Drosophila melanogaster: one gene and its partner. Changing the gene in region 2 together with the main gene of any one other region gives a genetic interaction. Each region holds a gene or a part of one and is shown on either strand. Other genes may lie near its edges. The genes, in order: hop and CG4793.

Evidence for each region.
Region 1: of CG4793 (region 2) and hop, changing one suppresses a phenotype caused by changing the other (phenotypic suppression), as found in Drosophila melanogaster (one study listed by BioGRID).

Annotation. Positions count from the first base shown.
Region 1 is NC_004354.4:11,362,047-11,369,914, reverse strand, and holds the start of hop (hopscotch), read left to right. Parts: upstream 1-1,816; 5' UTR 1,817-2,452; coding exon 2,453-3,514; intron 3,515-3,784; coding exon 3,785-3,945; intron 3,946-4,675; coding exon 4,676-4,882; intron 4,883-5,111; coding exon 5,112-5,431; intron 5,432-5,491; coding exon 5,492-5,954; intron 5,955-6,068; coding exon 6,069-6,418; intron 6,419-6,486; coding exon 6,487-6,923; intron 6,924-7,428; coding exon 7,429-7,607; intron 7,608-7,679; coding exon 7,680-7,844; intron 7,845-7,868. Other genes in the region: Tim8, read right to left, coding at 1,035-1,211, 1,290-1,379. UniProt on the Drosophila melanogaster protein: Tyrosine kinase of the non-receptor type, phosphorylates the marelle protein. Required maternally for the establishment of the normal array of embryonic segments: involved in the control of pair-rule gene transcription in a stripe-specific manner.
Region 2 is NT_033779.5:15,921,670-15,926,935, forward strand, and holds CG4793 (uncharacterized protein), read left to right. Parts: upstream 1-1,725; 5' UTR 1,726-1,740; coding exon 1,741-1,950; intron 1,951-2,011; coding exon 2,012-4,534; 3' UTR 4,535-4,618; downstream 4,619-5,266.

The DNA of each region.
Region 1 (7,868 bases), on a different chromosome or scaffold from region 2:
CTTCACTTGATCCTTTTTCACGCTTTTCGCTTCTCCTTCTGAACTTCTACACTTCACAGAAACCGACACCGACTGTATATTTTGCTATGTATATTATACACGGACACACACTCACTGGCAAAAAGGACATGCGTTTGGCACAGCCTTCGGGCATTTTATGTTTAATATAAATAAGTAGCGGCAGCACGTTGGAGAATATATATTACGGTTTTCTGCTCTGCTCACGGGAACACTAGTTCTAGTTGGGATCAGTGTGACCAGAGGCGCGCTGCGTGTGCAGCCCAATCAGAAGTCCTGGGCAAACGTTCAAAGCGAGCGCGGGAAATAGGTCCGCAAGCATTGCAAGTATTACCTTTGGATTTAGCAGAAATGCATTAATATTACATTTAGTATTACATTTTATACAGGAAATGGCAGCTACATTTGTGTGTTCAAAGTTGCGTAAATATGAATTCCAATTGGAAAGTTGCCGATAGGTACTTATCGAGTGGAAGCACTATACTATCGATATGGAATAACTTTATTTATTCTAATAAACATTTAAGGAACACCTACTATTTCATTCTAAGCCCCTTTCCAGCCTAATTAAATTTAAATGTATGTTGAAATGATCCAATTTCAATTCTATTTTCCTTTCTGCATAATATTAAGCCATCTATCAACAATATTTCATCATTATAAAAGAAGAGATTAAAACTATCCAAGCAAAGGATTACAACACAATGCATTTTAAACGTACGAAACGAAAGATGTATTTATTTTCGGTACGCTAACGTAGGGCCGACCAAACAATTGAGTTGCGCTACCGAATTAAATATTAATTCCGGAACTCGAATCACGGATTTCAATTTCGGGCTGGGTGCAGACTACGGGCCACATACTTTGGATGTCGGCGGCGAAACGCAGCGCGGAAAAAAATGTGCTTACATGATAATTTTTTGTTTAAAAATAGATTTAACAGTAGGACAGTGACGGAAGCGTCCACGGACTCGGATACCCAGATCCCGGTGTCGGTGTCGATTAAGCGAACAAATCTACAGGTCGCCGCCACCTCGCTTTTGGAGCATCTGAGCGAACCGCTGGGTGATAAGCAGCGACGTGTCGATGAATCGGTCGACGCAGTTGCTCAGGCACGTCTCGGTGGCGTGGTCCAGCTTGGTACTCGGCTTGCCGATGCACTTCTCCCAGCAGATCTCGTTGAACTCGTGTATCTGGCGACGATATAATGTGCGAGGGCATATTGTTATGATTACGAATGGTTATTATGTGTATGGGGGAACCCGGCTCACCTGCGCGTTGACCTGTGCCTTCTGTTTCTCAATCAAGAGGAACTCCTGCAGCTCCTTGTCATTGCCGGAAAGGTTCTCAAAATCGGACATCGTGTGATTTTCAGTGAGCAATCTACAAATTGACCGGGCTCGTCCGGAATTTCATATATTCTAAGGTTTGAGGTTATATAAACGACACTGACAGCTGTGAACTGTGGAATTACAAAAATCGATGTGTATTCGATAGCAAAGCTATTCGATACTGGAAATGCCGTGCATATTGCACTGTTTGCACTGTTGTCATATTTAAATGGCAAGAATATAGACGCCATAGAGCAAATAACAGTATATTTTTTTTTCTTAAGCATCCTCCTCCTGCCAACGAGGGTATACAATTTTCAAGAATACATTTCTAAAGTAAGTTGTTATTTATATTTACTGAGAACTATCGAAAAAGAACTAGAACCTCGCGTTGCCAACCACTGGTTCGCAAGGTGCGATAGTACAGGTTATTGGACAATCGATGACAAAGTGGCTCGGCCGTCGGCCAATCGATATCGTGAGGTGCAAATTGTCCGATGAATTTCACTGAAATTCGTGGCTTGTATTGTAGCTTCGCAATTGCAGCTTCGTTTCGACAGCAGGCCCACTTTCAGATCGAAGGCGTCTATAATCGCCATCCAGTCCCGTCGCCCTGTTCCCACAACGCCCCACAAATTTCGGGATCTAGCTGGCGTTTCGGGTGTCTAATTTCGGACCAGTGCACTGTGATTTCCGATTTCCAGTTTACTTTGCTGACGGATCGCCCAAGTGGCGAAGTGGTTCTTGCTCGGAAAGTTGGCGCTTGCTAAAAGAAGGAGCAGTCCAGGTGGTTCCCCGCCAGTGGCATCAATGGAACTCGCGCTGGAGTTTGGGGCAACCTTGCAACTGCAAGGGTAAGAGCATCGCCGATTCCAGGAGCATTCGCAGTAAGCCCAAAAATAGCAACTCAAGTCAGTCGCGGTGGTCATTGTTATTGGCAAGAAGAAGAGGAAACGGATAGAACGCGGCAAATTCCTAGGAAAGCTCCCATGATCTAGCTTCAGTGCGGCCGCGTAAGGAAACTGCTCCAGCCAAGGAACTGGGCTTGCAGGAGCAGCAGATAGCACCCAGCCCACAAGGGACCACTCACCGACAATCCTCTCATGGCCCTGGCCAACGGGGGAGAGGATAGAATGGACGACAGCAGCAGCGGACGCACTTCGCTGGCGGACAGCGCCAGCCTGACGAACTCCTCGCTGCGCAGCGGCACCTCCTCGCAGAGCATCCACACCAACGATGGCACAATCCGTGTGTTCAACTTCACCACCGGCGAATTTGAGCGTTTCCATCCCAACATGCTGTGCGAGGAGATCTGCAATACGATGTGCCGCCAGCTGGGCATTGCACCAATTGCCCAGCTGCTCTACGGAATACGGGAGCACTCGACATCGCGACGTCCCTCGCCGCTGGTGCGTTTGGATCTGACGTGGTGCCTGCCCGGCGAGCGACTCAACTGCCAGCTGGTCTATTGCTTTCGGATGCGTTTCCGTGTGCCCGAATTGGATAGCCAGCTGGAGTTGATCGATGGACGGAGCCACAAGTTCCTCTACCGCCAAATGCGCTACGATATGCGGACCGAGCAAATCCCGGAGATTCGCTATCCGGAGCACAAGGACAAATCAACGGGACTGGCCGTGATGGATATGCTAATCGACGATCAGGAACAGTCGGAGGATCAGCAGGCGATGCGCTCCATCGAGAAGCTTTACAAACTGTATTTGCCACCGAGCTTGTGGCGCGCCCACAGCTTCTTTGTGGGCTCCAAGATACGTGAGGTTTTCCGCAGTCTAAAAGCGAATTCGCTGAGTGTGGAGCGTTTGAAGTGGCACTATGTGCATCAGGTATCCCATTTGGCGCCCACCTATATGACCGAACAGTTCACCTGCACCGTTCAGTATCTGCCCAACGAGGAGGTGGCCCGCGGTAGCGGACCCATCGGCACCAGTCTGGCCCACTCGACGTCGACGCTGGCCAGTTCTGGATCGACCAACACTCTGTCCACGCTCACCACCAACACCAATTCCGTTGCACTCGGCGGCAGTGGCAAGAAGGCCAAACGACGTTCCACCAGCGGTGGAATCGATGTCTATGTGCGAGTCTTTCCACACGATTCCCTGGAGCCTGGACTCAAGGTGGCCAGGGTCACCTCCGAGGCCACACTCAAGGTACACACTATGTTTCCTTCTGAAATCTTATATGGTTTCTTGTGGTTTTCCCATCGAAATGCGCATTTTAATGCTGGCCATTTTAAATATGGAAATACCATTAATATTATAATATTTAAAAAACATTTTGATAGATTTCTCAATTTAATTAACGCGATTGTCTTGGTAATCAAGTTGCTTATCGCTGGCAAAGATTCTTGAAATATTCATACATACATACCATATGTAATTGCACTAGCATCCCATTGATAATCCTCATTTCCTCTGCAGTGGATCCTTGTTGGCGCCGTGGAAGGAATTTTTATGATCTCCAAAATCAACGACACCTCTGTGCGGCTGGAAATCGTTGGTCTGCCCAAGGGCTACGAGATGCAGTTTCAGACGGAGAAGGAGATGAAGTCCTTCATCTCCTACCTGGGTATCTACATCAGGTGAGTGGTTCACTTGTAATCGGTGAGCTTTAGATCCCAAAGAGTTCGCTTCCAACTAAATTTTAATCTTTTAAGCCGAACTTGCTTGGTCTTTTTTTCACCAGAATTTATAGGCATCTCATTGTAGTGTTCGTGTAACAATAATCAGTGCCCAATGTTCTTAATCAAACTACTCAATTGTTTTTTTTAACATCCATTGATTTAAAAAAAAAAACATCAAGTCATCAATTCCACGAACTCATTTAATAACATAATAATTCCACTTAAAAGTTAATGATTCCCACATAAATATGACATTTGATAACACGATTAAATACAGTGCTTGAAATGCTTGCTTTTTTGTTTAAAGAGTTTGTTAAAACCAAGTCCCTGTTTGTTTTGTAATCCAACACACAAAGTCGGTTTTCGTTATCAGGCTAAAATTAAAACAAGCAAGAAATTTAAAACTAAATGCTTTCAGAAGATTTCTTCAGTTAAATTGATTAAATAATTACGCACTAATCGGTTTTAAATGTTACATTGCTATTTATATCGCCTGCGTCAATGTGCAGTACTTCTCAATAACTCAATAAAGTTATATGTACGTAATTGAAACAATTGATTCCCAGCTATAGAATCACTTTTCAAATGCAATAATAATAATAATAATAATAATAATAACAATGCCAATGGACAGCAACAAATGTGCGCAACTTATAACTCGTATTTGCCATCCGTTTATTCCTTGCAGATTGTCGAGCAAATGGATGCAGGATCTGTGCCATTCGTACCGCACGCCCTCCCTGGAGGAGCTGAGCTCCCTCCACTGCCATGGTCCAATCGGCGGTGCCTACTCGCTGATGAAGCTGCACGAGAACGGTGACAAGTGCGGCAGCTATATTGTGCGTGAATGCGATCGAGAATACAACATATACTACATCGATATCAACACCAAAATGTGAGTACATGCGCGCCTTCACACAGTTATCAGTTACTTCCTCCTCGCTGGTTATCAGGCTTACAAACATTTCTGTATGCAATGCCACATGATACACAAAAATGCTGTGTGCGCTATGTGGCCAATTGTTTCGCTTACTGATGATTGCCTGTGTGTGTGTGTGATTGATGATGCCCAAATTAGATGTGATCGGTTTTATCTCATGCGAAAATCCCGCTCACCTTTGCAGCATGGCCAAGAAAACCGATCAGGAACGCTGCAAGACGGAGACATTTAGGATCGTGCGCAAGGACTCGCAATGGAAGCTAAGCTACAACAACGGCGAGCATGTACTAAACTCACTGCACGAAGTGGCGCACATCATTCAAGCGGATAGTCCCGATCGCTATCGCATACCCGCCTCCAAATATGACAAGCCGCCGCTGCTGCTACTGCTGCTGCCAAAGAACCTCAAGGCCAAAAAGACTGACCTCCAGCTGAGCGAGGCGGAGCTGCAGCGCCGCAATCCGCAGATCTTCAATCCCCGAACGGATCTGCAGTGGTATCCAGGTGGGTCATACTATATATTCTAATGCCTTGCTTCGTTCTAATCGCTCGTCTTTTGCGCAGATTCGATATCGCTTAGCGACGATGGCATGATGTTTACGATGCGCGGCGATTGGATCCAACAGAGTCCCGTCAAGGATGTGTCCGTGACGATGAAAATGCTAAAGAGCGATGGCAATTTCATGGAGTTCTTTCGCTTGGCACAGACCTGGAGCCTCATCCAGTCGCCGCAGTTCCTCAAGCTGTACGGCCTAACGCTCGCCGATCCGTACACAATGGTCATGGAGTATTCGCGGTATGGTCCGCTCAATAAGTTCCTGCACTCGATGCCCAATGTAACACTGCATTGTCTACTGGATCTGATGCATGGATTGGTGCGCGGCATGCACTATTTGGAGGACAACAAGATTATCCACAATTACATACGATGCAGTAATCTGTACGTGACCAAGTACGATCCGAATTCGTACGTGCTAGACGCGAAAATTAGCGATCCCGGCTATCCGCGTCCCTACCGAGAATCCGAGTGAGTAGCCGACAAATACAACTTAATCATCTTCTCGGTTGGGTCATACTCTTTGATAAAACAAAAAAAAAGCAAACAGCATTTTAAATAACATCATTCATTCTCCACTTTCAGCTCGCCATGGATACCTGTTAAGTATTATCGCAATTTGCAAGCAGCCAAAACGGATCAGTTTGCCCAGCTGTGGGCCTTCGCTACCACCATATACGAGATCTTCTCGCGCTGCAAGGAAGATCTGAGCACACTGCGCCAGGAGCAGCTACTCAGGCAGAAAAATCTCGATGGCAACATACTCAAGATGCTCGATCAGGACATCTGTCCGGCGCCGATATTCGAGACAATCATGGATGGATGGTCCGATGATGAGACCAAGCGCTTCAGTCACCACGACATTTTCTCGCGTCTCAACACGATCAAGGCGGAAATTCTGCCCAATTATATGCCGCCACCCGAGATCGCAACGAGTAAGTTGAGCAGACGAAAGCAGCGTTACGAGATTGGCATACATTTCATCTTCTATTTTTTTTTCCAGATGGAACTGGAGACGAGACCGTGATCGATAGAAGCGACATACCCTTTCTACCCTTTCCGCGTTCGAATATGTTGATGGTCATACCGCTGACCAGCGAATGTCGAGTGATCTACAACATGGAGAACATGATCGGGCGCGGTCATTATGGCACTGTCTACAAGGGTCATCTGGAGTTCAACGACAAGGATCAGCCGCGCGAGCAGGTTGCCATCAAGATGCTGAACACCATGCAGGTGTCGACCGATTTTCATCGCGAGATCGGCATCATGCGCACCCTCAGTCATCCGAACATAGTCAAGTTCAAGTATTGGGCTGAGAAGTCGCACTGCATCATTATGGAATATCTGCAATCTGGTTCCTTCGACATTTACCTGCGTTTCACGGCACCCAATCTCAATAATCCACGGCTCGTCAGCTTCGCTTTAGATATTGCAAATGTGAGTGGTTCGAATATGGCTTTAGAACGGAACAAGTTTTCCGGAAAAAAGAGGGAAAACTCAAAGAAAAATCTACAAATATTTTAAGGGTTTTTGCATCATAACTTGGCCAAAAGTGGTCAAATTTCGAAGGGAATGACTGTTTTTAAAAGCTTATGATCCCAATTAACAAATCCTATTTCTTTTTTTTTGAATTTGGTGGATTCAAAATTTTTCCATTTTTTTGAATTTTTTACAAGGGGTAACATCATCAAAATTTGCAAAAAATGGCAAAAAATTAAAAGTTCCCATTTTGAACCCCAATCGATTGGGAATTAAATTACGAGCCAAACGAGGTATAACAATCCATATTTGGGCTACTACTACCCAAGATGTGGCCAAAAAACTGCCCATTTTGGACAAAAAACCACAAAAAAGAACTTTGGTATAGAAAACTCATGTTTACGACTTTAGAAGAGATATTTCCTTTTGATCCAGTACTTAATCCAAATGCTTCTCGTCGCAGGGCATGAAATACTTGTCCGACATGGGACTCATCCACCGCGACCTGGCCGCCCGCAACATTTTGGTGGACCACAACGGCGATGGTGACTGCGTCAAAATCTCAGACTTCGGCCTGGCGCAATTCGCCAATTCCGATGGATATTACTATGCGAAAAGCAAGCGTGATATTCCCATTAGATGGTAAGAAAAAAAGAAGATGGATTGACGGTAGGCCACTATCGCAACTGAATATCTTTGCTTTCCATTGGTCAGGTACTCTCCGGAGGCCATCTCCACCTGCAGATTCTCATCGTATTCGGATGTTTGGAGCTATGGCGTGACGCTCTTCGAAATGTTTTCGCGCGGCGAGGAGCCCAATTTGGTGCCGATCCAGACATCGCAGGAGGATTTCCTCAATCGCCTTCAGAGCGGCGAACGGTGAGTTATCGTGAGATTTGGGTC
Region 2 (5,266 bases):
ACCCACCTTATTCAGCTTTGCTAGGCGAACAATTCCATCACTGGGCAGTCACAGGAGCCCAATCTGCGTTTCGCCGCCCTTGCGCCCTGAAATAAACAATATTTTCGCACATTTACCCAAAGCACCTACTTCCACTTAGCAACCTTTCGCCGAAGGAGCGCTGCTTTTACACCATTTGGTCCATTCGAAGAGGAAGGGGAAAAGGGGACCCTTGAGCAAACCACTTGATGACGAAGACATTTTGCCAGCTAAAAAATCGTATTTACAACATAATTTACACTCAAAGTGAGCATGGTGAGGAGGTCGGCGAAAAGCCAGGCTGTGATGAAGAGCGGGCGAAAAGGGTGAACTTGGAGCCGTGTGGCCCATTCAAAGTGCCACCACTCAAGTGCCACTTTGCCTTACTTATGCCTGACCAGGATCCGTCTGAAAAATGGGACAATTTCATGCCCTTTAATGGCAAACTTTTAGTGGTCAATGCAATGGCTGCCGCACAACATCATCAAGATGCGGGAATTACCAGAACCGCCGTAAAGAAATGGCAAACTGGAATGAAGCTCCGGTCCTTACGTTAAATTATGTAAAAATATAATTCTCCTTAAAAAAGAACGAGAAAAGCATTTGGTAGCTGGTGTATGGGAAAATGACGGAAAAGGTGAAAATTGTATTACACGAAATCAAGTCGAGTTCTGCACTCGCTGATGCTTTCCGCTTGCCGCCCTTTGATGTCGTTGCGCGAAAATTGAATAAAAATAATTTGTAATGCGTTTGCACTGCGGCAGATGGCTGGTGAGTTTGTGGTTGAGCGCTGAATGAAATGGAAATTACGGGAAATTTTGTAAATTAATGAGATGTTAAGGGGGCGAACCAGCTTGACGTAATTAATGAAGAGAATGCGACCCAGAAAACCAATATATGGTAACGTATATAAATGCCCCCAAATTGGTGTTATTAGAGGTTGGCTGTAATGTTCAATGTACTTAAAGAATGAATTCATGATTTTTCTTATTTTTTGCATGCTTTTAAGTATTTGTTGTATGCGTTACCAGAGTCAAATAAATATAATATATATAAGAATATAAATATAAGCAATGAAAAGACCTAGCTTTCGTATATATGATTAAATTTACTGTTCTTGGTATGCATAAGTGCTTTAATGCACTATAAGAATAAGTAAAAATACCCGACATGCTTCATCTTAATTCGTTATCGGTGGCAAGAATTTCGAAGAAGCCTTATCAAATCAGAATTTAAACATGAGAGAATGTTATAGTCGAGTGCTTCGACAATGAGATACCTGTTACTCAGCTGATAAATTTAATAAATAAATAAATATAAACGGATATTTTCAAAAGATGTGGGAGCAGCAGTTTGGGCGGTTTTTGGGCTTGAGAGTGGGCGTGGCAAAAAGTAGTTAGGATTATCGATATCAAAAAAAAAAAAACATTTTTCAAAAGTGTGAGCGAGGCCCTTTGGTCGGCTTATGGGCGTTAGAGTGGGCGTGGAAACATTGGAACGGGCGGACAGACGGACATGGCCAGTTCGACTCGGCATTGATCCTGATCATACTCTATAAAGTCGAAAACGTTTCATTCTGCCTGTTAGATACTTTTCAGCGAATCTAGTATACCCTCTTACTATACGAGTAACGGGTATACAAATTGAATTAATGTTCGCTGGCGATACAATATGTTGACCGCTTATTCGCAAACGACAGTGTATTAAATTCAAGCGTTTAGAATGGATCGCCTTTCCATTCTGCTCTTGGTTCTTGGATTCTCCCGGATCCAGGCTCTTTTCTGTGGTGGGTCAATGGCGAAAGAGTGCGTACAGCGAAACCGTTGCCGTATTGGTACCGAAACGGGAAGACCAATCATAGATTTTAGAGGACTTAATAACGGTAATCAGGGATGTGAATCTGGCCAAACCTGCTGCCCGAAAACGGAAATAGTAATGCTAATCGAGAGCTATCACTTGAATGTTCTTTTTTGACAGCCCATTGTCTTTGCAGTTACAATATCCAGTACAGGCTGACAATCAACCGCTACCTACTGAATGTGGCCACGTGAACCGTATAGGAGTGGGCTTCACCATAACTAACGCGAGAGACATCGCACAGAAAGGCGAACTGCCATGGATGGTGGCCCTGCTCGATTCCAGAAGCCGTCTACCGTTAGGCGGCGGCTCCCTAATTACGCGGGATGTGGTGCTTACATCATCTACGAAAACTTTGGAAGTTCCTGAGAAATATCTTATTGTGAGGGCTGGCGAATGGGACTTTGAAAGCATCACCGAGGAGCGAGCACATGAGGACGTTGCGATCAGGAAGATCGTACGACATACCAATCTCAGTGTCGAAAATGGTGCCAATAATGCGGCCCTTCTGTTCCTCGCTAGACCGCTAAAACTAGACCATCACATAGGTCTCATTTGTTTGCCGCCGCCGAATCGAAACTTTATCCATAATCGCTGCATCGTCAGTGGCTGGGGCAAAAAAACAGCCTTGGACAACAGTTACATGAATATCCTGAAAAAGATCGAGTTGCCATTGGTGGACAGATCTGTGTGTCAAACGAAACTGCAAGGACCCTACGGCAAAGACTTCATTCTCGATAACAGCCTAATATGTGCCGGCGGAGAACCTGGCAAGGATACGTGCAAAGGCGATGGAGGTGCCCCACTTGCCTGCCCACTGCAAAGCGATCCTAACCGGTACGAACTGTTGGGAATCGTAAACTTTGGATTCGGATGTGGAGGGCCACTTCCTGCTGCCTACACTGATGTTTCCCAAATTCGAAGCTGGATTGATAATTGTATCCAAGCGGAAGCAGTCCACTATTCTCCTCAGTTGGGAAATGTAGGCCAATCACCTGCTCCACTCGATCGCTATATACCAAATATAGGCCTAGAAACTCAAAATGAAGTCCACAGCCCGGTTCAAGGATCTCTCCATAATGTCGTATATCAAACTGGTGGTGTTGGATATATTCGAGGTATGGGCCAAGGAACTGCTTTCCAAGGACCAGTTCAAGTTGGAGAACTTATTCCGAACGAAGGCACCGTATCTGGCGGACTTGTATATGATTCAAATGAAATCCAAAAATTTAATCAAGGTGGAATATACATTCCACATGTAGGCCAAGGAAATAGTGACAATAGATATTATCCAAATCCGGAAATCGGAGCAGTTCCAGTCGGAAATCCTATTCCGAATGAAGGCAATGCATTTGGCGGTCGTGGATATGATTTTAATGAAATCCAAAAACATAATCAAGGTGGGAGATACATTCCACATGTAGGTCATGGAAATGGTCCCAATGCACCTAAAGAACCTCTTAAAATCGGAGGAAATATTCCAAATGTAGGCCAAGGAAACAGGGGTAATAGATATGATCTAAATCCTGAAATCGGAGCAGTTCCAGTCGGAAATCCTATTCCGAATGAAGGCAATGCATTTGGCGGTCGTGGATATGATTTAAATGAAATCCAAAAACATAATCAAGGTGGAAGATACATTCCACATGTAGGTCATGGAAATGGTCCCAATGCACCTAAAGAACTTCTTAAAATCGGAGGAAATATTCCAAATGTAGGCCAAGGAAACAGAGGGAATATATATGATCCAAATCCGGAAATCGGAGCAGTTCCAGTCGGAAATCCTATTCCGAATGAAGGCAATGCATTTGGCGGTCGTGGATATGATTTAAATGAAATCCAAAAACATAATCAAGGTGGAAGATACATTCCACATGTAGGTCATGGAAATGGTCCCAATGCACCTAAAGAACCTCTTAAAATCGGAGGAAATATTCCAAATGTAGGCCAAGGAAACAGAGGGAATATATATGATCCAAATCCGGAAATCGGAGCAGTTCCAGTCGGAAATCCTATTCCGAATGAAGGCAATGCATTTGGCGGTCGTGGATATGATTTAAATGAAATCCAAAAACATAATCAAGGTGGAAGATACATTCCACATGTAGGTCATGGAAATGGTCCCAATGCACCTAAAGAACCTCTTAAAATCGGAGGAAATATTCCAAATGTAGGCCAAGGAAACAGAGGGAATAGATATGATCCAAATCCGGAAATCGGAGCAGTTCCAGTCGGAAATCCTATTCCGAATGAAGGCAATGCATTTGGCGGTCGTGGATATGATTTAAATGAAATCCAAAAACATAATCAAGGTGGAAGATACATTCCACATGTAGGTCATGGAAATGGTCCCAATGCACCTAAAGAACCTCTTAAAATCGGAGGAAATATTCCAAATGTAGGCCAAGGAAACAGAGGTAATAGATATGATCTAAATCCTGAAATCGGACATGCCACATTTGGTGCAACCGGTACCGGAATGCAAGGAAATAATATAGATAATCCATATAAAAACAATCTTGGTGACAGAGCAGAAAATGAATTGGAAAGGTTTCCTCTTGAAAATCCCAATAGGGATCATGTTATCAGGCTTAGTGATTTTTTAATCACAACGCCCACTCCGAGTGCACCTATAAAATTGGTAATAGAAAAGATCTAACATAATTTCATAATTTTATTATAGAGCTAGTAATCTAAAACAATATTATTTCCATATTACAATTATAATTATATTTGTTCTCTTTTTACCTGTCTTTTAAATTGTGATTTTTTTTAATATTGAAAGCGGAGAAATATATATAACTTTTATAAGCTCCCTTCAGGTCAGACAATCTAATTTTTGGTTTAGTGGTAACCATCTGTATTTTTAGTTTTGACTTTGTTGCTTGCATTGCGCATTACAAATGTGCAAGTATATTATCCAGATTATTAGCTGATATCGAGTTAGGCCATCAGCAGCTGGACACACTATCATCCTATTGATTCTGTGGCCCACCCAAAATCCGGCTAATTGTGCTGGACTTTGGCTGGAGTTTATTACGAAGCAAGCTGGCCCCAAATTGCCACCCACCAAATACAACCAATTTCGCAGAAACAACGCACAAAAACTGGCCCAATATGGGGGCTTACTATAGTTACATGGCACTCAGAGGCGAACGTCGAATGGGGAACACATTGCGGCCCTATTGCTTTTAGCCAGAGTTCGTTTCTTGTTTATTTGTTTGTTTGACTGATTTGCTGTTGTTTATTTTGATTTCCGGCTCAAATGCCGAGTGGGCAGAGGCGGATCCTTGTCGATTTCTACATTGATTGTGTTGTCGCAGCAGGAGTTCGATTTCCTCTGCTGGAGTGTGTGTATGTACTGGTGCTTGTACAGCAGCAGATTAGTGTT